7 linked regions of the Macaca fascicularis genome follow. The protein of the gene in region 1 purifies or fractionates together with the protein of each later gene. This does not show direct contact. Links are inferred from orthologs where the notes say so. Each region holds a gene or a part of one and is shown on either strand. Other genes may lie near its edges. The genes, in order: CBX5, MECP2, EHMT2, SENP7, ADNP, methyl-CpG-binding domain protein 1 and CHAMP1.

Region 1 (3,500 bases):
TTGTTTTGTTTACTGCTGTGTCTTCTAACTCTTAGGAAGAGTGCGGGAGGGGGAAGAAAAAGACAAAGATGCTCATGATTCCTAAGGAAATAAACCAAAGATGTCTATCTCTACAGAGTACCAAAGCCTGGGGGAAAAAAGGAACTTACTCAGAAAAGCCTTTCCACTTCAGTAGATATTCCACTTGTCCCTTAACTACACGCCTGTCTAGCACCTTCTCCACAACGTACTCCTCCTCATCCTCTGAAGAAGAACTGTCAGCTGTCCGCTTGGTTTTCTTTCCCATGTCGCACACCGTTCCACCTGAAAGACTAAGGCCACCGGGTCCCTGTAAAGGCAAAGGACAAAATAGTTAGAATCCATGTGAAGAGTTAAAAACTTTGTCTCTTCTTGATGGGACGAAAAGGGGATAACACCAAGTTGCCATGTGCCCTGCTCTTGAGTCTCAAATCATTCTACAGATGAGTCCTAAGAATTTAATTTAAAAATGAATCAGTCTTCACTTCCTCAACCACAACCTTCTCTTCGGCTAAAGAGACCAAAATTATTAGAAGGCGCAATTGTCTAACTCTTCTTTCAGATTCCAAAAGACAAGTAGTGTGGTATGTTATTCCTGGCTATGTTTATAACTATTTACAAGCCAGGAACTCAAACAGAAATGTGCAAAATCTTCAGTTAAATGAACCAAGATAAAATTAAAACCTTTTTCTCCAAAGTGAATAAGGGTCTTTATAAAAATGAAAAAAGAAAAGCCACTAAAATATGAGTTTTCTGTGCTCTGAGCATCTTGCCCAGTCTCTCACCAGCACAAAAAAAAGGCTTGCTCAGGCATCTTTCACCACATTTTCAGTGACTTGGTACATTTCCCTTAAACAAATTGAGCTTGTCCCTTCAGAGCATCCATCAGCTCACAAAAGCAAGGCTGACATCTCAAACACACTAAGCTTCCTTTTTAGAAAGCTAATTTGGGGATGGGAGGGAGGCAGAAAGGAGAAAAAATTTTCAGTCCTAAAATTCAAAATTAGTCACTAGATTGTTGAGTAATTCCCAAGATGTAACTAATCCAAATAGTTAAGAAGGTACCTCTCCTCTTAACTGAAGTTGACTCAGGGCCAAAGGAAGAGGAGGAGGAAAAAGAAGTCTGGCCCCAGACTCAGCATCAACATGAAGCCTCCTCAAAATACAGAGGAACCATTCATAGGCCCAAGGAAAGCTGAAGCAAGGAAACACAAATGGAAATTGAGTTAAGCTCAGAAATATGCACACCAGGGGGTACTCAACAGAGAATCTAGTTTTAAAAATTCCCATGTTGCTCTTCCACAATCATTTTTAAGAATTCTTCCTTAACCATGCTAAATGGCGCCTACAGTCTGGATTACAGAGTAGCAGAAATTGTTTTCTTAGCTGAACTCCATTTTTGTTTTCCTGTAATCTTTAAAGATGTTTATCAGCACCCTCTAAATATTTCCACCCTGACCAGAAAACCACCGGGTCAGGGAGGGCCCACTACTAATCTCACAATGATGTTCAAGTCACACAAAAAGTGGCAATTATCAATTCACTTCAAATTAGCAAAACTTTAAAAATTATTACAAGAATGTATAGTTGGAAACCATATCCCCAGAACTTATTAGCAATAGGTCTCCCCACCTAAAACACTGCCTATACCCATTACTGCCCTATAAGACTAAGTTTTTATTAAAATACTCTATTTGGAAGAAGTAGTAGGAAAATGTAGGTGCGGGGGGCGGTTAAAATAATTTTTCCATGAATTTAGAAGAGTCCTAAGCTTCAAGAAAATATTTTATGTGGTTTATTTAAAATGAAACAGCCTCCAACCTCACCAGAGACAGGAAATGTCATATTCCAGGGAGAGTACCCCACCCCCACCCCCACTCACCTTGGAATTTCCGGGAGCTGAGCAGTTTAGGTCAGAGCGCTGGGGTTAAAACCAGCCCCATGTTAGATGCATGCAGTTAAGCATTGTGGCTATGGCCTCCCCTGCCTCACCAGGAAAAACAAGGATTTACATGTGTTCTTCATTTTGAGGGAGAGAAAAGAAAAATCTCCCTTTATACCTTCATGCAGAAGAGGAGCCCCAAAGGTAGAAAATGAATGGGGGTTCCCTCCTTTACCTACCGGATCGCCCCAGTTCTTTCTTTCCCTCTGGGCTAACAGGAGGGGCCTCCCCTCCCAGGTCTGGGTCTTGGCGGGCTGGCAGCTCCCCCGCCCCCACCCAGCTGCCTGGGCGCCACTGCGCAGCTGTCCCAGTCCGTTGCCATAGCAACTGGCAGCAGTACTACACTAAGGGGGAGAAGCAAATGGAAAAGTTAAAAGGCTTAACTTTCCTTTTCAGTGAAGACTGGGTGGAGAAGTTGGAAGGTACCTCTCTTGGCCTCAAGGCTAAGGCATTCAGAGCTCAAGGGAATTACTTCTTAGGTTTTAAATCCAGTATTTATGCTTATTCCTCTAACAGCACTGTAAATTAATCAATAGCATTTTAAGATCATCTAACAAGATTACAGCTCAACTGAAGGGGGGAGGGGAAAGGCTCGATCCTTCTACAATACGATCAGTACAAACCACCCATCACTTAATACAGCCCACCAGAGCACTTCGGGCAACCCCATTTTACCATCTGTCACAGAACAGTTAATTAAAATTGCTTGAGGGGAAAAATAACAGGAAACAGGGGAAGGGAAGTATTTTAAAGACACTATATAACTTTCCTTCTTTGGGGTGATTACTAGAGATAAAATCCAAAGACACGAAGCACTACCAAAACAACAACCCAAAAAAAAAAAAATCTTTTAACTAAAATTACAGGTGGAGCGCCGGGCGCAGCGGCTCATGCCTGCAATCCCACAACTTTGGGAGGACGGGGCAGGGCAATCATTTGAGGTCAGGTGTTCGAGACTAGCCCGACCAACATGGTGAAACCCCGTCTCTACTAAAAATACAAAAAAATTAACCAGGCGCGGTGGCAGGCGCATATAGTCCCAGTTACTCAGGGGGCTGAGGGAGGAGAATCGCTTGAACCCGGGAGGCGGAGGTTGCAGTGAGCCAAGATCGTGCCACTGCACTCCAGCCTGGGCGACAAGAGTGAGACTGTCTCAAAAAAATAAAATAAAATTTAGGTGGAAAAAAATTCCTAAGAAGTTTAAAAAAAAAAAAAAAGGAGAGCGGTTCTGCCACAACCTAATGGTTGATAAATTAAAACCACTTCTAGGTTGTTCTATAATGTTATGAAACAGATTTTTAAATAATTATTCATCACCTGATACATTATTAATGTACAACTCTCTGTATCAGTATGTCCCAATTCTTGAGAAAAGGAGTACTGGGATAAATAAAAAAGACATACAGAGACTTGAAATACTGTAAGTTTTCCATTCTTCTGGCTCTAAAGAACATTTTTGAGAGCTTCAAAACTACTCTGCTTTATAGATATGGGAACTTTAAAGCCAGAAGTGGCTGCCATAGGAGAGTAAGAAAAAGGG
Region 2 (4,278 bases), on another chromosome or scaffold:
CACTGCACTGCAGCCTGGGCTACAGAATGAGACCCCATCCCCCACCCCCCCAAAAAAGAATGAACTCCCAGTTTTCATAGTGGCCCCGGCTGCCTTTCCAATCACATTCCCTACCACTCTCCAGCAACACTGACCTCCTTGTTAGTCCCCAACATGCCAGGCATAGTCTCTCCTCATGGCCTTTGAACTTGCCTGGAATGTTCTTTCCCCAGATATTCAAATGAGGGAGTAAAATGAGGATGAAAACCCATAGATACCTAAATAGCACCCCCTTTACTCTTACTCTATCTTTCTCAAAGCCCCTGTCACTATGTGAAATGATACATTATACTTATGTGTATGCTAGTATGAATCTTCCCGGCAAGAATCTTAGTATGCTGTCTGTTCAGTACCATGCATCCAGAGCCTGGAAGAGTGCCTGGCACATAGCAGGTAGTCAATAAATGAATGGGGGCAGGCAGCCAAATCAGAATCAGGTTTTCTTGCTAAGCATAGAACTAACAGAAGGATCACTGAATGGATTGGATAATGACTGGCATCAGGGTAAGGTCCCCTTAACAAACACTCCTGTCCTGAACACCTGGTTAGCTAACACTTTTCTCATATTTTCCCAAAACACAATTGCTGGATCTCAGCTCCAAATCCATTTTTCTAGGAAAGTGAACAATTGCTGGATCTCAGCTCCCAAATCACATCTTTCAGGCAGAGCTAACATTGCCCCTTATTCACACCTCCACCAAACCATCTGATCCAACAATGACAGGTGTCACGAGGCCTTGGCATGCACTCTCTTCCCCCGCCAGAGTTCTGCGAAGGCCAGGGTTGGGATTTGTTGTCAGTTTATTCCCCACCCCTACGAGAACGTGACCACCGGGCAGGCTCAGATGAAATAATGCATTGAGTAGGCCTCTGAAACCAAGGCCCCTCAGCTGGGGCAACGTCAGGCTCCAGGGCGGGTAACTTTGCTGCTTCTGCTGAAAATGGTGATATTGAGAAACTGCGGGTGCAGTGAAACGCTTATTGCAGCGCACTCGGTGCATCTGTGGACAGAGGGTCAATCGCCCCTCAGGGCCGCGCAAACAGGCGTCCCGAGCCTGGGCCTTCACTTGCCCCAGCATCCGCAAGGGTCCATTAATCCTTAACATTCAAATTCCGCCCACTAAACCAGCCCCTCCGCGCCCAAGCCGCCTCTTTTCCCCAAACGTCGGCCGAAAGCAGCCAATCAACAGCTGGAGGGGACCGCCTCCTTTTCCCTGGCCGAAATGGACAAGAAATCTCGCCAATTGACGGCATCGCCGCTGTGACCGCCCCCCCGCCCCAGCCCGGCCATCACAGCCAATGGCGGGCGGGCTCGCAGCGGCGCCGGGGGCGGGGCGCGGGCGCGCAGGTGCAGCAGCGCGCGGGCCGGCCGGGAGGGCGGGGCGCGACGTCGACCGTGCGGGGTCCCGGCGTCGGCGGCGCGCGCGCTCCCTCCTCTCGGAGAGAGGGCTGTGGTAAAAGCCGTCCGGAAAATGGCCGCCGCCGCCGCCGCCGCGCCGAGCGGAGGAGGAGGAGGAGGCGAGGAGGAGAGACTGTGAGTGGGACCGCCGTGGCCGCGGGCGGGGACCCTTGCCGGGGGGCGGGGGTCAGGGGCGGGACGTGGCGCGGGAGGGGCCCGCGGGGTCGGACGACACGGCTGGCGGATGGCGTCCCTCCTCTCTACCCTCCCCCTCCCGCCGCCGCCGGTGGCGACTCTCCCTTCGGCCCGTCACCCGTGCTCGCGGGTGACCGTCCTCGGCGCGGCCTCCCTGGAGCCGCCTTCGCCTGACGCCCCTCTTCCTTCCGCCCTCGGCGCGCATCCCGGCCCCCGGCCCCGCGGGCGCCCCTGTCGCCGGGGCTTCGCCTGTCGGGGCTGCGCGCGCTCCTGCCCTGCTCGGGGCTTTGGGCCGCGGCGCCGTCGCGCGCCCGCGGCCCCGGCCTCTCCCTGGATCGCGCTCTCCCCTCTCCTCCCTCGCGCGCCCCCTCTCCCGTTACTTGGCCCCCCCCACCGGCGCGCGTGCGCACTTCGCCTCCCGTCGGGAGAGTGCGCCACAAGGGCTCCTGAGCTCTCACCCCCATCTCTGGGCTTTGCCTCCCCCTCCTTCTCGCCCATTCCATGAATTTCTGCCCCCCCACCCCCACGCGAGCGAGTAGGTCCACCGGCTCCTTTCCCCATCTAGCAGGAACAAGGAGGTGGGGATTATTGTCCACAAAAGGACTAGACATTGTGTTCTGGGTCCCACAACTCATCATAAAGAGGTGGTTATAGTTCCCATCAGGAGCCGTGAGTAGGGGACTGTGCGTCCAGCAGCACCCGAGGCTCTTCGGCGCCTGAGGCTCTAAGGTGCGAGCGTGTCCCCAGGGTGCTCAGAGGTTCTTTGGAGTGCTGTGGCCTCGGAATGTGAGCACCCTCCCATCTTACCCTCCCCTTCGCCGGCGATCTTCCAGTTACATAAGTGGAGTGGGACATAGTAGGTAACGGGCTCTCATCGCCCTGGAGCGCTCGGGATCACCGGTACCAGATGGAGCAAGTTCATCGCGACGCTGTGGCTCCTGTTCATTGTGCCTGAAAGGTTATTCTCTGTTCAGTTTGGTTATGACCGAATCACCCAAACTGAAACTCAGATGACTTTTATATGGCAGTGGCAATGTTTCTGTGGTTTTGCACTAAAGACTTAAGGTCATTATGAAGAGTTTAAAAGGATTGCTCTCGCAGGGGAGACCGTTTATGACATTGCTAAGTATGGACCCCAAGGGGGAAAAAGCTCATTCTGGAATTGCTCTGTGGCGGTGACTTCTGTTGTGAGTGTGTTCGGGTGTGGGTTGGTCACAGCAGAAATGGGCTCCACCACAAAATTGATATTCCTGACTCATGGTCAGACAGATGTGTGCTTCTGGTTATTTTTCCAGGAACAGGAATGGGCTCTGCCGAGCCTTGCACACGTTGTGTCTCTGCTGTGCGGGATCAGTACCCCAAACTGAGATAACAGGATCGAATTCATGGGTTGGTTGGTGATCCAGGAACCATACCTACTTGGATGTGATACTGAGTGACTTAGACGTTGTAGGACTCTCATAAGTTTTAGGCATTTTGTTATACTGTAAAAAGCATATACGGCCTCGGTAGTAACGTTGCACTAATAGGTAATTATTACTCTAGAGAATTTTGGGTTCCGTGGCTGGAATGTTCATCTGTATCTCAGCAATTTCAGTTAATAACCAGATTAAGCTGACCTCTTGAGTCTTTTGAAATCTGCTGGGTCCCTATAATAAGATAGGGTCTGGATTTTTTAATCTTTTGGGAATTTCCACCAAGGATTTAGGGAAATAGGCTTATTTATGGGCTTTTCAGGATTTCTATTTTAAATCCCAGTCAGGAAGTGTAGGAAGCACTTGCTTTTATTTTCTTACGTGAATATGTCAGAACCTTAAATCACCCAATCAATCTAGAAGTAGTACAATTGATTAAAATAAGTCACCACAGGTCACCCATTCGTGGCAGGTCAGCTAGGTGGCTGATCACTGGAATACAGTCATATCCCCAGGCAGACACAGGAGCCTCACTTGACGATCCCAAAGTTTGTACATCTGAGCTTGAGACATGACAAGTTGAGGTCTCTGCTTTGTTCTTCATAGTTGGCAGTTTGTCTCCTCGGGTTCCCCTCCAGTTAGCTGTTTATCATACACCTAGCCCTTTCAACAGTGCAGGCAGCTTCCATAGTATAGTTTTCTCTTCAAAGTGCCGGGTGGAGGGGTACCCCCCTTTCCATTGTCCTAATGGCTCCATAGGGCTTCCATACCAGCCCTTTCCAGTGTCCTAACAGCTCAAAGAAACCATCTATGACTTTCTTGTTAGCACTGGCCTATCACACCTTCCTATTGCCTGTTACTAAAATTTAACCTGGAATGCTTTAAGCTTAGAGTACTGGGTCTTTGTTTTACCCGATTGATAGGAGAGTGTCATACAGTCAGCAGAACTCCGACTTTTGTGCTGTTTAATACTTAGGTAGGTCTGGGGCAAGGCACAAACCACTGTGTATTCAAAGGGTTATGGTGCTTACATTCTGTGTGTATATGTTTGTAATTTCCAACCAGAGTCATTTCCCGTGCCTGCCCTGCCTCTGTGCAATCTCATCTAGTGGAGTAGGGAGGCAAGCTGTGGAGTTTGAAAAAAAAATAAACAAAAAAACTGGCTAGATGAGTTTAATAGGCTGTTACCCCCTCTGGAACATTCCTCCCATGTGGAGATGAAATGAGAAG
Region 3 (3,500 bases), on another chromosome or scaffold:
GCCATGGGGCATTCTACCTGTCTGCCCCACTGGTCACTCACCGCCGTGCAGAAGTAGCCGCAGCCCGGGCAGCAGTGGTGTTTGACCATGCGGGCGCGGTGGGTCTCACAGAGCACCATCAGGGCCACGCGGCTGGATGGCCTCATGGTCTCCCGCTTGAGGATGGCGGCATTGCAGCCTGACAGCTGTGCGTGGTGAGGATGGGTGAGAAGAAAGGGTGAGGCTGGGGCCCGGGACTGGACGCCCTGGCACCTCTCCCACCAGCCCACGGCCCCACCTCTCCGTCCACACTCTCGGTGGCCATGCACTTGTGCCCCGCCCTCTCGCTGATACGGTCGATTTTGGGTGCCTCCATGCGGCAGCTGCACAGGGGCAACTCCTCAAACCCTCGCTCTGTCTCCAGCGAAGATGTGTCATTGGACACCCCTTGGACGGAGAAAAAGAGGAGCTGAGGGAGGCCCTGAACTTCACCCATTGGGACCCCTGGCGGGTCCTGTCACTCCCTCCCTACCTCACCCCCATGCCCCAGAACCCCTAAAGCCTGGCCATGGACACCCCGGCTCTGGCGTGGTTCCCCTCCTTCCCTTTCCCTCCTGCCCTGAGGTTGCCCCCTAGTGGCTCCCTGTCCCGGCAATTGGCAATTACCAGCGTGGTTGGGGGAGAGGGTCCCCTCGCTGGGCAGCTCCAGGGACCCCAGAGGGACCTCCATGTACTCACTGGGGCCTGAGGAGCCCACACCATTCACTCCTGACACAGAGACAGAGAGAGTGAGAGTGCGAGCTCACAGGTGCCTGGACGCGTGGGTACATGCAGGTGGACATGCGAGAGCGTGTGTGTGCGTGCACACACTCTGGGGGCTGGGCGGGGGCTGGAGGAGGGCACCCAAAAGCAGCAGAGCCTCCTTACCTCGTGGCTCCTTGGCCCGCGGAGGCTCCCGCTTGCGCCGTTTCCGAGATGGCTTCACCCATGGGCTGTCTTTTCGCCACTTCTTCTTGGCCTTGCGCCGGCCACTGGAACCACTCTGGGAAGGGGGAGGAGGAGGAGTTACGAACCCTCACCCCAAGGGGGCCCCCCAACACCTTCAGGACCAGACCACCAGCCCCACAGTCTCCCACTCCTCTGGAGATATCAGCCTCCGTCTCTTACCCTATCTGACTGATTCCCTGACTCCTCATCTTCCTCTTCTTCTTCCTCTTCCTCCTCCTCTTCCTCCTCTTCTTCTTCCTCCTCTTCTTCCTCCTCCTCTTCACTTAGTTGTTCAGTTAGAGCTTCAACTTCAGACTGGGAGAGAGGCAGAACAGGACATATCCAATCCCCAGGACTCAGACAATGAGATAGATTAAAAAAACCACCACCACCATTGCCCCCCGCCACTACCCACAGATGGCTGCTGGGGAAGATGAGTGTGGGTAGGAGAGGAGAAAAAGGGCCACATAAAGAGAGGGTGCATGGACTATTACACAGTAGTGAAAAAGGTGCCACAGTTATAGACAGCAATGTACACAGATCTTGGTAATGTGACATTAAATTAAAAAACAAAAAACAAGTACCAGAAGATAAACATAGTTTGATCCCCCTTTTATGATGTTCATAAACAGGCAAGACCACCAATGGTTGCTAAAAACACTAGACATGAAGCTCATGAGAAATTTTATATGAAATGTTCAGGCTGCCATCACCTGAACCCACTGGTCAATCTTATCACTAAGAAAAATGACCATATGAGATGTTCCATGCATCCTGATGTGATGTGGCCAGAAGCACTTGCACCCACTGTCAAGTCTTCTTGGCACCTGAAGTCGATTACGCCTCTAGATCTACCAGTTTACAAGAAATATGGGCAGAGAGGATGTGTCAATCTCTACCCAAACAGCCAACGTCATACAGAATGTGAAAAATTCTATACAACTGACCTGGTTTGACAAATAAATGGCAAGAAAAAAATGTCTTTCTTATTTATTTATTGAGTTTCGCTCTTGTTGCCCAGGCTGCAGTGCAATAGTGTGATCTCAGCTCACTGCAACCTCCACCTCTGGGTTCAAGCAATTCTCCTGCCTCAGCCTCCCAAGTAGCTGGGATTACAGGTGCCTGCGACCACACCCAGCTAAGTTTTGTATTTTTATTAGGGATGGGTTTTCACCATGTTGGCCAGGCTGGTCTCCTGACCTCAGGTGACCCACCTGCCTCCCAAAGTGCTGGGATTACAAGCGTGAGCCACCACGCCTGGCCAGAAATTTTTTTTTTAGAAGATGGGGAAACCAGGCAGGTGTGGTGGCTCATGCTTGTAATTCCAGTGCTTTGGGAGGCTGAGGTGGGCAGATCACAAGATCAGGAGTTTGAGACCAGCCTGGCCAACATAGTGAAATCCTGTCTCTACTAAAAATACGAAAAATGAGCTGGGTGTGGTGGCGGGTGCCTATAATTCCAGCTACTTGGGAGACTGAGACAGGAGAATTGCTTGAACTCAGGAGGCGGAGCTTGCAGTGAGCCAAGATCGTGCCACTGCACTCCAGCCTGGGCCACAGTGTGAGACTCCATCTCAAAACACAAAAACAAACAAACAAACAAACAAACAAAAAGAAGATGGGGAAACCTAAATACCAAGAGAGACCTAAGACAAATTTTTTTTTTTTTTGAGATGGTATTTTGCTCTTGTTGCCCAGGCTGGAGTGCAATGGCACGATCTTGGCTCACTGCAACCTCCGCCTTCCAGGTTCAAGTGATTCTCCTGCCTCAGCCTCCTGAGTAGCTGGGATTACAGGCATGCACCACCACGCCCAGCTAATTTTGTATTTTTTTAGTAGAGACGGGGTTTCTCCATGTTGGTCAGGCTGGTCTCGAACTCCTGACCTCATGTGATCCGCCCGCCTCGGCCTCCCAAAGTGCTGGGATTACAGGCGTGAGTCACCACGCCCGGCCGACCTAAGACAAATGTTAATCAAATCAAGGTGCGGGCCTCATTTGGATCTTGACAAAAACCCATTTATGAGAGCTGAGGAAATGTGAAGACTGACAGGATATTTGATGGTATTAAGAAATCAGTAGGCCAGGCGCGGTGGCTCAAGCCTGTAATCCCAGCACTTTGGGAGGCCGAGACGGGCAGATGACGAGGTCAGGAGATCGAGACCATCCTGGCTAAAACGGTGAAACCCCGTCTCTACTAAAAAATACAAAAAACTAGCCGGGCGAGGTGGCAGGCGCCTGTAGTCCCAGCTACTCGGGAGGCTGAGGCAGGAGAATGGCTTGAACCCGGGAGGCGGAGCTTGCAGTGAGCTGAGATCCGGCCCCTGCACTCCAGCCTGGGCAACAGAGCAAGACTCCGTCTCAAAAAAAAAAAAAAAAAAAAAAAAAGAAATCAGTAATTTTTTTTAGGTGTGAAAACAGTAGTGTAGTGATGTTGAACGACAAAAAGAGGCCTTATATTTTTATATATATATATGGAAATACATTTACGTAAAATGATACAAGGTCTGGGACTTGCTTTAAAATAACCTAGTACG
Region 4 (2,889 bases), on another chromosome or scaffold:
CCCGCCACCACGCCTGGCTAATTTTTTCTTTTTTTTTTTTTTTTTTTTTTTGGTAACATCCTAGGAGCTGTGAATTTAAAATAATATTATCTTCTCGAGGAAGGCTTGCTTTGTTCACTAACAGCTCTCTGTCTCTCTACCGCCTCACTAACACACACACACACACACACACACACCCCCTCTAGGCTGAGCTCCCTCCTGCATTCCCAAAGCAACTCTATGGTTGTTCTTACCAGAAAATATTTAAAATGTTCACATGTCCATAAATGACTCAGGAACAAAAGCTATCATTCACTTTTTGTGCCTAGCAAAATGCCTGCTAGTAGTAGATGTTAAAATACTTTCCCTGAACTGAAATGACACTCAAACTATATGCTTATTAAACTATGAGGAAAAATTAATATAAGCATCAATTTCACGATATACACAGAGCAGCATACAACTGGAAATTTATTTCTAACAGTAACTCATGTTTCTTGAGGAAAAAAATTACACCTCAATTTAATGAATTGGAAATATGTTTAATATAAAACACTGATATCCTCAAAACATTATTTGCACATTAATTTAGGAAAACGAATTTTAAACAATCTTCAAAACATGATAAAGGACAGTGGTATCTTTGAAAAACATACAAACAAAAACATTAAGAAATCACAAGATGACTTATAGACTTGCTTTCCCAAAATTAGATGTACAAAACAATAGTCACCTTTAAAAGTACCCCCCAACACACACAAATTGGGAATGAAATATGTAATTATAGCCATCTTTATATGAAATATCCAAAAGACAAATATCTTTAATAATACAAAGATAGCGACAAAATCAAAAGCTAAGAATACTGAGGCTTAAGTGACAACCTCAATTCATATGATTTTGAAATAAAATGTTCAGACTTTCTAGCTTTATCTTAAATTGCCTTTGCTTCACTGCTTTACATAGTTATAATGTAAATCTAAGAGATGCTTAAAACAGATTAAAATAATATTGTTAAAAAACATTTTTCTTATCTGAGAAAATACAATATAATCATATCTCCCTCAAAATACTCCTGATAACATTAGAAAGTTCTGAAGTGCTTAATCATACACAATGCCACCATTATCACATGAATTCAGAACTGTTACCTGAATATTTAATAAAAAATTAAGTTCCATGAGGATCATAGGTCTCTAAAAGCTACAATTTAAAAATATAAAAGCAGTAAGAGCAATCTGGCTTTGCAAATGAATACTGGGTAAATTGAGCTATAAAATTATATATTTAATTCTAACCATTAATAAATAGGACTGAGGGTTTTCTTTGTTAAAGTTATGAGGACATCAATTTTATCTTCTATATTACAGAAACTATACATAAATTCCGTGATAATGTAAGAGTGAATATTTATATAGCAGTACCTCAAGTTGAGCTACATGGATAATTTTTAAAAAACTATTTTGCACAGGTAAAATTTTTTGTTTCAGATTTTACCCTGAACAAATGAACTAAATTATAGGATGCTCACATATGACATCAAAAGAAATGAAAAAAAAAGAGAGCAGAGTAATCGCATTTAGCAATTGAGAATAATAAGCTGCACTTTAAAAGAGCGAATTTTTATAATCTTCCTAACATTAAGAATGTCTTTTTGTTACATACAGAAGGGATGCCATAAATGGCATTTTCTGAAGCCTTGATACTAAATTCTTTTTTAAAAAATACACAGTATTCATACTGCATGCTTGAGCTGCAAAGAATAGAATTACAATATGATGTGACTTGCCAACAAATTTGACAAGCACTGGGGCTGGCACCAGGGAGGCTTTCACTCCCCTCAACACCCAGTCATGTGGAAGTACATACAGATCATGTAAGTTTTATTATCTACAAAACATTTCCATATTACATATGCTATTGCATAATCCAAGCATATTTACTCAGAAAAATATGAAATATTTATAAAATTTTAATTTATATCTAATAAGTTTATCTGTATCACCCCCATTCCCACTCCATTTATAAGATCCCAACAATTCTAATAATATATCCTATGTATTTTAAATAATGTTCCAATGACTTATTATAAAACTACTGCAAGTTATTTTCTTCTCTGTGAGCTGGCTAACACAAATGCTAGTAAGAGGCTTTCCAGTAATCTTAGAGAACATCTGTGTCATGTTTGTACAGATTAACTAGCTACTGCTGCCCTTCTGTTGCTGTAAATGAAGTTTCAAGATGAGCTCTCGAATATCTTCCCGTTTGGTCTTTATTACATGACGAGGAAACCATTTCTCCAAATGAATTGGAAGTTCAAAATTAACAATAGGATCCTAATGAGAGGAAAAAAAGAGTGCAATCACTTTAGCAGCATAATTTCAAATTTGTTTTAACTTCATTTTTATAAGAAATGACAAATTGCTAACTTTTTTAAAATAACAATTATATTAAGATATAATTCACATAATACAATTCACCAATAGCATACAATTGAGCATTTTTAGTATATTCACAGTGTAACCACTTCCACAATCAATTTTAGAACATTTTTACCAAATTGCTAACTTCTAAATATCAAAATTAAATACTCTGTTCTGCTACAATGTATGTTTAAGTGAATGAGCACAAACAGAATTGGTAAATAAAGAATGATTCAGAATGAAGTTGGTTTTATCACAACTTTTCCCAACATGTTAAGATTTTGAAATATTAAAGAGAAAGCCTTAGTAGTTAATGAAAAATCTCAGATTAAAAATGGAAAATCCTGCCAAGTGCCTTCTTTCGGTGTAAGAAATAGCTGACTTATGGCTTCAAGAATCACTACTGTTTCAATGATGTTAAGCTTAACCAGGAAATCGCAAATTGCAACCCCACAGGACGTTTCCCCGAGTGTTTAAAAAAAAAAAA
Region 5 (3,500 bases), on another chromosome or scaffold:
GTAGAATTTATAATCTACCTGTATAACAACAGATGTAACATAGCTCCGTTCCAGCCCCAAATTCCTTAAAGGTTCTAATCTATTCTTGCACTTCTTCCTGTACTGTTGTTGAGAAGCTTAACATTTTAGGGAGAGGCTGGTCAAATCTCTACTCTCTGGTAACAGCATTAACAAGAGTCTTTTGGAAAGGGACTCAGAAGTTATGGACATCAGCCACTTCAGACTTCTTTACACCAGTATCCTTGACAGATGACTGACCAGCCTCCTCATGGACTGGAGCATCCCATCATTGTTTTAATTGCTGGAAATGTTGGCCTAATTCTGCTTCCTTGTAACTTTCTGCTTTTTAGTACAAGTTGCTCTTGGGAATCTATGCACGGTAAAAATACCAGCTCCTTCCATCTTTACAGCCCTGTAAGTGTGTGCTCTTCAAAGCCTTTCCCTTAATAGCAAGATGGCCAAGAGTGGCAACAGAGGCAGAGCTGCCTACACTACAATTGTTCCCATTGTAAGGTGAAAACGAACACTTAACTTCATCTACAAGGGAAAAAAAAAAAACCCATCAAGGCTATTAAGATTCTGCTTGCAAATTAATGCCAATCCATGTTTACATTTTTTTTTTTAAATCACTGAGACATTTACATATATATCCAGGCTCTGCTCCTTAACAAAAGGTGAACTGAAAAACTCAAGGGTGTTTATTTTTCAGTTAAAAGAGAAAAACAAAAAACAAAAACGCAAAACAGATTTTGTACCAGGTGCCTCAAGAGAAAGCATTCTTTATGCAGATGACAGATCTTGGGTTTTCCACAAGTTTCCTCTGTGACTGTGGCTGCCATCTCTGATGAAAGAGTTATGGCATTAAATGGCAAAAGATATAATGGACACACAGAACTGTCATGGGTAATAAAGCAAATATTTACATTAAGCACAATACAGCAATTTATTTAGATGCTTAAAATGAATACAAAGGGAAATAAAGATCACAAAATTATACATACTACAACAGTGTGTCATATATTAGATGGTATAAATGAATGCACCATGATGGTGTTGAACTAAAGATAAAACTAAATATCCAAAATGCAGCACTCATTGGTTTGCTGCTTCAACACAACACACTTTTATACAGATCTAAAAGGTGTCAAAATTAGTAGCTGCAAAGTCAATTCTTGCATGTGATTTTAGCTTAAAAGATTTCAGAAAACAGATCTGAAATACCAGTTTTTGTTTTTGACAGCTGTAATGTCAAGGATATTCAGAACAAGAAAAATCCTATAATACAAGAGAGTCCAGATATATATCTTACGTGGCTGGCCTCTGTTGCAAGATTGTACAAGGTTATGTGCAAAAACTAAGTCTGTCCAAAAGTCCATACTAGCGCAGTTTTGAGCTTTTGCTAGGTAAACTAGATATAGCGTTTATTACACAGCAAGGGCAACACTAAAAAAAGAAATCTATGATGGGCACACAGTAACAGTATCATGAGCATCACTTGAATAGGTCTAAAAGACTGTACAAATATACATTTCAACTATTCAGAATGAATACATGAAAAAAAAATCGCTTTTCCCAAAGTCTACTATACACATTAGACTGGTAGCTTGTATGTTGGCCCTACACTACCATGTGAATTAGGTTAACGCTTCTCAAAGACATCTGACCAATCATTTCACAGAGGGAAAGAAATGTTGAAAAGGCAGATAAAATAAACCTCTGCTTTTCCTCGTATGTATTCATGAGCCACCAGCTTATTGGTTTTTCACATTTAGTTACCGTGTCTGTCAGAGAAGGTTCTGAAGCAAGATCAGCCTGTCGTGTCATAGACTTAGAAATAACCACTGGAACTGCAGCGGCCACATGCCCCACAGTCCAACCAGTACTCACAAGGCAGTACCAGTGAGAAGACAGCTTTGCAGTCACACTGAATGGAGATCAGAGTTCCAGGCTGCAGCATGTCACCAATGCCAAGGAACCTGGCACTTAGGCCTGTTGGCTGCTCAGTTTAACTCCAGCTAAGCTGCCATGCATGGGCTCAGCTACTCCGTCAGTCATGTTGTCAAACTGTTCCCCATCCTCACTGTCAATTGTGCTATTCTGCCACTCAATCTGGGGGTTAGATAAGCGCTCATCATTCTCAGCTGCATTCTTCCACTGTGACTGGTCCTTAGACCAAAACCCTTCAACTTTTCCATAGGAACTATTCTTCCATTTCAACTGCTCTCTGTCACCTTGCATGGTAGCCTTTTTTTTGGCAGCTGGCTTACTGCTCCTTGCATCTTCACTTTGGGAAGACTCATCAGACCAGGTTCCTGGTTTCATTTCACAGGTATTGTCCTCAAAGTCTGACACTTGTTGGGATCCAGGCCCACTCTCAGATGGAGAAGCTCCGTCTTTCCACTCAACAACATCGTCTTGGTCAACCTCACTATCAGAAGCATTGTGCATTAGTTTGGTTGGTTCCTCAGTCAAATGAATAGTTTCGTATTTTGAACCATCCTCCTCTTTTTGGTCTAGCTTCTCCTCAGATTCTAAAGCATCCTCAGGAATTACCTTCAGTACATGTTCCTCTGGGTTACTGTTAGAGATTTTAGGCTCAACCTCAAAAACAGGGTCAAAAGGGCTACCACTTTCATTGGATTCTTCTTCCAAATTTCCAAAACTGTCTGAGGAACTGTCATCTTCTTTCCCAAGGTTAAGCTTTTTGTCAGCAGTCTTACTTGCGTTGACTCTGGAATCCTTCTCATCATGATTTTCAAATAGCCACTCAGCATCAAAATCCATCTCATGCTTGACTTTATTTAATTCTTTCATGTTAAACCCCAGCAACACGCCAGGCTTGTACTTTTCACAATCACGGACACATTTCTTCCTTTTGTTACTAAAATGGGAAGCAATGTCACTCTTCCATAACCATAAACTGGCTGCTAGCTTCTCAATTTCTCTCCTGGTGGGATAGGGCTGTTTGTTGAAATACTTTGTTAGAAAGCTTTTCCTGGCTTCATAGGAATCATCTTCATGACCCTTGGGGTCTAAAGCTAAAACAACAGGCTCTTCAGGCTTCTCCTCAAAGAAGCTGGGTGAATCACTATCATCATCTAACTTTCGTTTTTTCAGTAAGGGAAATTCCATTTGCTCATAAGTGCGCTTCACAGGTGCCAGGCTTGGAGACTGATTAAGCCGAGAGGGTGCATTTGTCTTATCCTGGCCATTTTGGGTCTTTCCAACACCCCTGCAGTGAACTAGATGCAGAGTGATAGTCGAGGCGGTCATGTTGCTGGTATACACACCAAGGCAATGGATACATTTGTAGGTGAGCTTTTTCTCAACTGGATGAACCGTCTGAATAACCTGGTGCCTCTCTCGTAAGTGATGTGCAAGTGCATCAGATATGGGTCCTTTTAGGATTGAAAAGCAAAGAGGACAAAGGGTTTTCCCAACATCTTTTTTATAGGGCACTGCAGCTTGAGGTGAACTTTTAACAGGGATATCTGCCTTTT
Region 6 (4,222 bases), on another chromosome or scaffold:
GGGAGAAGCTGCGGCGTGCGGAAGTGGACTTGGAGCGCGTGCGTGTGGTAGGTTTCGCTGTGGTTTCATGGTGCATGTGGTAGGTTTCCATGCCGGACGTGGCCGAGGGCAGGCGGGGCTTCAGTTGTTCCTGCTTAGGACTCCTGCCGCTCTCTTGGCAGTGGTACAAGCTGGACGAGCTGTTTGAGCAGGAGCGCAATGTGCGCACAGCCATGACAAACCGCGCGGGATTGCTGGCCTTGATGCTGCACCAGACAATCCAGCACGATCCCCTCACTACCGACCTGCGCTCCAGTGCCGACCGCTGAGCCTTCTGGCCCGGACCCCTCACACCCTGCATTCCAGATGGGGGAGCTGCCCGGTGCCCATGTGTCCGTTCCTCCACTCATCTGTTTCTCTGGTTCTCCCTGTGCCCATCCACCGGTTGACCGCCCGTCTGCCTTTATCAGAGGGTCTGTCCCCGTCGACATGTTCAGTGCCTGGTGGGGCTGCGGAGTCCACTCATCCTTGCCTCCTCTCCCTGGGTTTTGTTAATAAAATTTTGAAGAAACCAAGGAAGCTGTGTCCACATTGCTGCGGTTGCAACTGTTCCAGACTCCTGGATAAGATGGGGGGCGCCTGCACCCCGGGAGGGCCCAGGGACCCACATTCCCAGCCTCCCACAGGCAGAGGGTCTACGCAGCACGTATTCAGTGTGGTGACACCGCCCACGCGTGCTCCTGTCTCCCACCCAGAGCTGTCCTCCACTGTGGACGCCAGGCCCCGCCTTTTCCCAACAAGCCCCACGTTGGGGATTCGCCTCCTGCAGGGGCGCGCCCTCCCGCGTGCCTCAGTTTACCTGCGGTGCGTCACCGCCCCTTTCCCCGCCCCGCGCGCTCCAGCACCTGTTCGGCGGGGAGGAGGGAGCGGGACACGACCGCCCTGGGGTTGATGTTCGGAGGGACCGGCGAGCACAGGATAGACCCCAGCGAGAGATGGGAGAAGAGAGCGCCGGCTGGGTCAGGGAGTGCGCAGGCGCGAAGCAGCTTCCTCGCCGCTGTGGGTATCCGCCTCGGAGACCGCGGGAGGGAAGGGAGGGCGCAGGCGCAAGCCCTCCCCGACGACTTCCCTTCAGTTTGAGACTGGAGAGCGCATGCGCAAGCTAGATGGTCAGCGAGCACAGCCCCGACTGCAGGTCCCTCCTTCGATGGGGCACGAGCTGTCGTTGAACGTCAGCACGCAGATGCAACTGGTTTTCGGCCGGGGGGCGCGCGCCCCGCTGCAGAGCGCCAGCCCGCAGGCGCGGGAGCCTCCCTATTAAGGGCACGCGACGTCGAGGCAATAGCGCGCAGGTGCTTAGCCAGAGGCGGAGCCCGAGAGGAAGGCAGCGGACTTCCGGTTCCGGGAGCAACGAACAGCCGCGGAGGCGACAGCTACCGCTTCAGAGGAGGCGGCCGCGGAGGAGGAAGAAGGGGAGGAGGGCGAGGCGGGAGGCGCAGGAGGGACCCTAGCCATGGGTCCACGGGCCTAGAGTGGCGGAAGATACCAGCCTGGTGCCAAACTGGTGAGACAGCCTTGGGGCTGGACGTGGAGAGTGCTCAGGCGGAGGATAGGAAGGAATTGTGGCTGAGAACGCTGACGGGGAGGAATCAAGGGCCCTCAGGCCGATGAGGGGGAGGAATGGCGGCGTCGGAATACTGACGAGGAGAAACAGGGGAATTTAGGCTGAGGACAGGAAGGAATGGAGCTCAGAACTCTGACAGGTAGGAGTGTCGGGATCCTGGGACGAGGACGGAGAGGAATGGTGGAGATCAGAACGCTAAAGGGAGACATCAGGGCATCTGAAGTTGAGAGAGAAATGGGGGTTCAGAACTCCGAGCGGGAGAAATGAGGGGCCCTCAGGCTGATGACAGGAGAAATGGAGGCGTTGGAATGCTGAAAGGGAGGAATGGGAGGCCCCATATAGAGGACGAGGAGCAGTAGGGGATCAGAACGCTGACAGTTAGGGATGGCATGATCCCAGGACAAGAACAGAGAATGGGGGAGGGTTCGGAATGCTGAGGGGAGAAATTAGGGTCTCTCAGGATAAGGGAGGAATGGAGAATGAGAACAGTGAGAGGGAGAAGTGGGGAACTTTTTGGATGTAGAGGAGAGAAACAGGAAGGTTTGGGGGCTGAGACTGGGGAGAAATTGTGGGCCAGAACATTGAAGGAGAAGAAAAGTAAGGGGGGAGCTCTTGGCTGAGGAAGGGGAGGCATGGGAGGCTTCCAGTGTGTGAGAAATGGAAAAGATGAGGGGCTGTTCGGGTCATGGGTTGGAGCAGTTGTGTCTCGCAGAGGAAGTCGAGGTTGTAACACTGAGGTAGCAAGATAAGAGGACATCAGGCAGAGACGGAATGGAATGGTTAAAACACTGAAGGAAGGAAATTAGGAACTCCTGGGTCGGGGAAGGGGGGAATGAGAGACTACTGAAGCCAAGTAGTGAGGGCAAGAGAAATGGGGCCCTTTGGGGCTGAGGATGGGAAGTATGGGGGTCTTGTGGTGATAAAATAGAGGGATAGAGGCCCTTAGGTCAGTGACAGGGAGGAATGAGGGGGGAAGATGAAAAGTTTCTGAATTGGCAGTGAGGAGAAATGATGGGCTGTCAGTCTGAGGATAGAGAGGAGTAGGGGATTAGGACACTAAGAATAATAAACAGGGATCCTTGGGTTGAGGAATGAGGATCTCCTAGGCCCAGAATAGGAAAGAATGGGGTGAGAATATGAGGGGTTTCTTCTCCATATATGGGCTGGTTGCCTGCGGCAGGTCCTAGGTCTTGGGCAAGCACTAATGGATACCAGTGATTTGTGTGGCCTGGGGCACATTTTGTCCCTTCCTAGAGCCTCAGTTTCCCTCATCCCCTCAACCCCCTTTCAGGCTACTGCTGCTTTCTGTGGCCTCCATGGCTGAGGACTGGCTGGACTGCCCGGCCCTGGGCCCTGGCTGGAAGCGCCGTGAAGTCTTTCGCAAGTCAGGGGCCACCTGTGGACGCTCAGACACCTATTACCAGAGGTACTGGGTGGGTTGTGGGCAGAGTGGGGGTGGGGTAGAGCCTCATTAGGGTAAAATCAAATAGTGCGGTTAAATTTATGGATGGAGTTTAAATTATGCACAAACAGTTAATCGTTATTAGCGGATTTTGTGTTTGCAATTTCACCTACTTAATACAGTATTTGTAACTTAAAAGTCACTACTCACAGTGCATTTGTGATTATTGAAGGACATGCACAGAGCAGTGAAAAACTGTCACTCAATGCATGTGTTTCTAGCTGAGACTGAAGGAGCCCTTTTTATTTCAGCTTTAATACCGTAAACAAGTGACCTTTTCGTGGTCTGTTTAGTGTCACATTTTTCTAATTTTTGTATGTTTTGTTGGTGATTTTGCTTTTTAAAATAGTCCTCAAGCGTAGTGCTGAGGTGCTGTTTAGTGTTCTGAGTGTGAGAAGGCCATGTCGTGCCTTACGGAGAAAATACAAGGCAGATAAACCTTGTTGGTTATCTGAGTTACAATGCTGTTGGCTGTAAGTTCAATGTTATGCATCAGAATTATGGTACAACCAGAAAAAGAAGGAAATTTGCCAATATGTGCACAAGGCTGCTTCAGAAAATACAGAAAGCATTTATAGTCTTGAAGCTATGGAAGAGATGAGAAAGCAGCTACGTTGGTGGATTCATGAAATGACGATCAATAAAGCATAGTGGACAGCATTGTTGAGGAAAGCCAAAGTCACGTTACCCTGGGTTAGGAAAATATTAAGGTTGTATCAGCTAGTGCTGGCTGACTTGCACATTTCAAAAGGCAACATGGCATGAAAAATGTTAAACTTGCATGCAATGCAGGTTCTCCCGATCAGGAGTCTTCCGAAGAGTTTTAAAAATACCTTTTAAGTGTTTTATAGGAAAGGGGTTGTGTAGAAGAGTGGTTTTCAATGCCAATGGGATTGGCTTGTTAAACAAAAATATTGGCAAACAAACCTACAGAACACATATGGCCTCCAAAGCCCCTGGTTTGAGTCATTCAAAGACCATGCAAATAATCATTTGTAAAAAATATATATTAAGTAATGTGTATTTAAACAGAAACACGCACAAAACAGAAATTCAGATGCTCTCAGGAACCTAACCCTGTATTTCCTCTAGGAGCAATGGTTTTGTATTCAATGTTCATGGCAACTTTGTAGAACATATCTACCATAACTAATGAG
Region 7 (2,481 bases), on another chromosome or scaffold:
GGTTCTTCTGGGCCATCTGAGTCCCCCAAAGCAGCCTCAGATATCTGGAAGCCAGTTCTCTCTATTGATACTGAGCCTAGAAAACCTGCCCTGTTTCCCGAGCCTGCCAAAACAGCCCCTCCAGCTTCTCCAGAACCACGCAAACGTGCCCTTTTTCCAGAGCCCCGGAAGCATGCCCTTTTCCCTGAACTCCCCAAATCTGCTCTATTCTCAGAATCACAGAAGGCTGTTGAGCTTGGTGATGAACTACAAATAGATGCCATAGATGATCAAAAATGTGATCTTTTGGTTCAGGAAGAACTTCTAGCTTCACCTAAGAAACTTTTGGAAGATACTTTATTTCCTTCCTCAAAGAAGCTCAAGAAAGACAACCAAGAGAGCTCAGATGCTGAGCTTAGTAGTAGTGAGTACATAAAAACAGATTTGGATGTGGTGGATGTTAAGGGCCAGGAATCAAGCAGTGATCAAGAGCAGGTTGATGTGGAATCCATTGATTTTAGCAAAGAGAACAAAATGGACATGACTAGTCCAGAGCAGTCTAGAAATGTGCTACAGTTTACTGAAGAAAAAGAAGCTTTTATCTCTGAAGAGGAGATTGCAAAATATATGAAGCGTGGAAAAGGAAAGTATTATTGCAAAATTTGTTGCTGTCGTGCTATGAAAAAAGGTGCTGTTTTGCATCATTTGGTTAATAAGCATAATGTTCATAGCCCTTACAAATGCACAATTTGTGGAAAGGCTTTTCTTTTGGAATCTCTCCTTAAAAATCATGTAGCAGCCCATGGGCAGAGTTTACTTAAATGTCCACGTTGTAATTTTGAATCAAATTTCCCACGAGGTTTTAAGAAACATTTAACTCATTGTCAAAGCCGGCATAATGAAGAGGCAAATAAAAAGCTAATGGAAGCTCTTGAACCGCCACTGGAGGAGCAGCAAATTTGATAGCTCAGTATGAATATTTGTTCTACAAAGGTGTTCGTTGAAACCATTCTTTGTAAGTATAGCTTATCAAATAGCCTAGTTGGATATGTAGATGACATGTGGTGTACCGTGTTTCACTGTCTCAGTTGTGTTACTAAGAATGAGCATTTGATTATTTTTTTCTGGTCTCTGTCTATGTGGCTATCTTGTAAGTCAATCAATTTCTATATAGTCCAGATGGATTAAACTTCTCATTTCTTTTAAATATGTATGAATAATAAAACAAGGAAGTAGGCATTCCATTTAATAATCAAGAGCAAGTTGTACTCAAAGCATTCAGTTAATCTGTGTGTGGAACTAATTTCAGATAATAGAAAATATTAGTTGAAATGTTTAAGAATTAGGCATGAAAAATAAATTTGAGAAATTTTGTTTCCTCACATGTATTTTTAAATCATAAGAGTTATTTTCTATCTGATGTAAAATTAGTTTATAAATCTTAATCAGCTTCTAGATGTTTATTAGCTTTTATGTCATGAAATGTTGGAGTCTCAGGGTTGCTGATTGTCTGCTAATGGGAAAAATTGAGTAAGTCTTTAAAATAGTTTGCAGCCTTCTCCCACAGGAGACAAGTGGAACGATAAGTGTGATTTTAGATCTTTTTTGTCCATAGTTGTTTTCAGTGGAGTCTTCCATTCTATATCTTACCCTAAGATCTGGTTCTTCCCTCCCCATCCCCATCCCAGCCCCCACCCGCCAGCTCACACTAATAGATGATTCTTAATTGCCAAATGTGTTAGAGTTTGTATGTCCTACTCCTGGGCCTTACATGTCGCCTGTTGGGGCTTAAGACCAGGTTAATAAGTAGGAACTGAAAGTCTTCCAGGTTCACAGTAGAAAATTTTATAGACATTTCTGTTAAAGAAATATATCGATTTTATGTTTTTCAGTTCTGTTACTGTAAATACCTTGTACCTGTTCATGGATTATTTTATTCTAAAGTATTTTGTCAAATGTGTATCAACCAAATTAAAAAAGAAAGGCTTTCGTGTCAGCAACATTTTCATGTGTGTTTTCTTTTGTGTAATTTGCATGTATGATATAGAAATCCATTATTTCCATGTTTTCAACATAGGAATTTTCTTATCTGGAGCAGCATTTTCTTAGCTGTGTTTTCTCCAAGTTCTGTGGTCAGGTAAGTTAGGGGAATGCTTGTATAGGGAGGACTCCATGTGAAAAATCTCATCCTTTCGTATGAAAGGTTTTTTAATTCCAGTGGTTGCCTATCCTGCCTGCCTCTGAACAGTGTGAGGCATTTAATCTCAGAGGATTCTGATGTGTAGCCAGGATTGAGATGCTGTACTGGGTTTAATTTAGCTATTCCCAGACTTTTTTTTAACAATGAACAGTTTTGTCCTAGTTCCCCACTGGCTGGCTTCCCTACTAATATGCCCGTTGGGATATCTTAACAATATTTAGTGATGTGGTTTGGCTCTGTGTCAAATCTCTCTCTCTTTTTTTTTATTTTGAGACCGATCCTTGCTCTGTCACCCAGGTTGC

What was found.
Region 2: the proteins of CBX5 (region 1) and MECP2 purify together in Homo sapiens (affinity purification with western blotting; 3 studies listed by BioGRID, with this or other methods). This does not show direct contact. The link is inferred for Macaca fascicularis from reciprocal best matches to the Homo sapiens genes CBX5 and MECP2.
Region 3: the proteins of CBX5 (region 1) and EHMT2 purify together in Homo sapiens (affinity purification with mass spectrometry; 3 studies listed by BioGRID and IntAct, with this or other methods). This does not show direct contact. The link is inferred for Macaca fascicularis from reciprocal best matches to the Homo sapiens genes CBX5 and EHMT2.
Region 4: the proteins of CBX5 (region 1) and SENP7 purify together in Homo sapiens (affinity purification with mass spectrometry; 3 studies listed by BioGRID and IntAct, with this or other methods). This does not show direct contact. The link is inferred for Macaca fascicularis from reciprocal best matches to the Homo sapiens genes CBX5 and SENP7.
Region 5: the proteins of CBX5 (region 1) and ADNP purify together in Homo sapiens (affinity purification with mass spectrometry; 4 studies listed by BioGRID and IntAct, with this or other methods). This does not show direct contact. The link is inferred for Macaca fascicularis from reciprocal best matches to the Homo sapiens genes CBX5 and ADNP.
Region 6: the proteins of CBX5 (region 1) and methyl-CpG-binding domain protein 1 purify together in Homo sapiens (affinity purification with western blotting; 3 studies listed by BioGRID and IntAct, with this or other methods). This does not show direct contact. The link is inferred for Macaca fascicularis from reciprocal best matches to the Homo sapiens genes CBX5 and MBD1.
Region 7: the proteins of CBX5 (region 1) and CHAMP1 purify together in Homo sapiens (affinity purification with mass spectrometry; 6 studies listed by BioGRID and IntAct, with this or other methods). This does not show direct contact. The link is inferred for Macaca fascicularis from reciprocal best matches to the Homo sapiens genes CBX5 and CHAMP1.

Annotation. Positions count from the first base shown.
Region 1 is NC_088385.1:61,102,426-61,105,925, forward strand, and holds part of CBX5 (chromobox protein homolog 5), read right to left. Parts: intron 2,235-3,500; exon of another isoform or gene 1,901-2,234; intron 329-1,900; 5' UTR 287-328; coding exon 150-286; intron 1-149. UniProt on the Homo sapiens protein: Component of heterochromatin that recognizes and binds histone H3 tails methylated at 'Lys-9' (H3K9me), leading to epigenetic repression. In contrast, it is excluded from chromatin when 'Tyr-41' of histone H3 is phosphorylated (H3Y41ph).
Region 2 is NC_088395.1:160,165,549-160,169,826, reverse strand, and holds the start of MECP2 (methyl-CpG-binding protein 2), read left to right. Parts: upstream 1-1,478; 5' UTR 1,479-1,511; coding exon 1,512-1,573; intron 1,574-4,278. UniProt on the Homo sapiens protein: Chromosomal protein that binds to methylated DNA. It can bind specifically to a single methyl-CpG pair. It is not influenced by sequences flanking the methyl-CpGs.
Region 3 is NC_088378.1:139,819,338-139,822,837, reverse strand, and holds part of EHMT2 (histone-lysine N-methyltransferase EHMT2), read right to left. Parts: intron 1,282-3,500; coding exon 1,147-1,281; intron 1,022-1,146; coding exon 907-1,021; intron 748-906; coding exon 646-747; intron 427-645; coding exon 278-426; intron 186-277; coding exon 42-185; intron 1-41. UniProt on the Homo sapiens protein: Histone methyltransferase that specifically mono- and dimethylates 'Lys-9' of histone H3 (H3K9me1 and H3K9me2, respectively) in euchromatin.
Region 4 is NC_088376.1:181,716,245-181,719,133, reverse strand, and holds the end of SENP7 (sentrin-specific protease 7), read right to left. Parts: intron 2,316-2,889; coding exon 2,178-2,315; 3' UTR 501-2,177; downstream 1-500. UniProt on the Homo sapiens protein: Protease that acts as a positive regulator of the cGAS-STING pathway by catalyzing desumoylation of CGAS. Desumoylation of CGAS promotes DNA-binding activity of CGAS, subsequent oligomerization and activation.
Region 5 is NC_088384.1:106,991,695-106,995,194, forward strand, and holds part of ADNP (activity-dependent neuroprotector homeobox protein), read right to left. Parts: coding exon 1,984-3,500; 3' UTR 1-1,983.
Region 6 is NC_088392.1:39,461,057-39,465,278, forward strand, and holds the start of methyl-CpG-binding domain protein 1, read left to right. Parts: upstream 1-1,422; 5' UTR 1,423-1,543; intron 1,544-2,894; 5' UTR 2,895-2,919; coding exon 2,920-3,029; intron 3,030-4,222. Other genes in the region: CXXC1 (CXXC-type zinc finger protein 1), read left to right, coding at 1-47, 162-308. UniProt on the Homo sapiens protein: Transcriptional repressor that binds CpG islands in promoters where the DNA is methylated at position 5 of cytosine within CpG dinucleotides. Binding is abolished by the presence of 7-mG that is produced by DNA damage by methylmethanesulfonate (MMS).
Region 7 is NC_088391.1:104,574,774-104,577,254, forward strand, and holds the end of CHAMP1 (chromosome alignment-maintaining phosphoprotein 1), read left to right. Parts: coding exon 1-942; 3' UTR 943-1,981; downstream 1,982-2,481. UniProt on the Homo sapiens protein: Required for proper alignment of chromosomes at metaphase and their accurate segregation during mitosis. Involved in the maintenance of spindle microtubules attachment to the kinetochore during sister chromatid biorientation.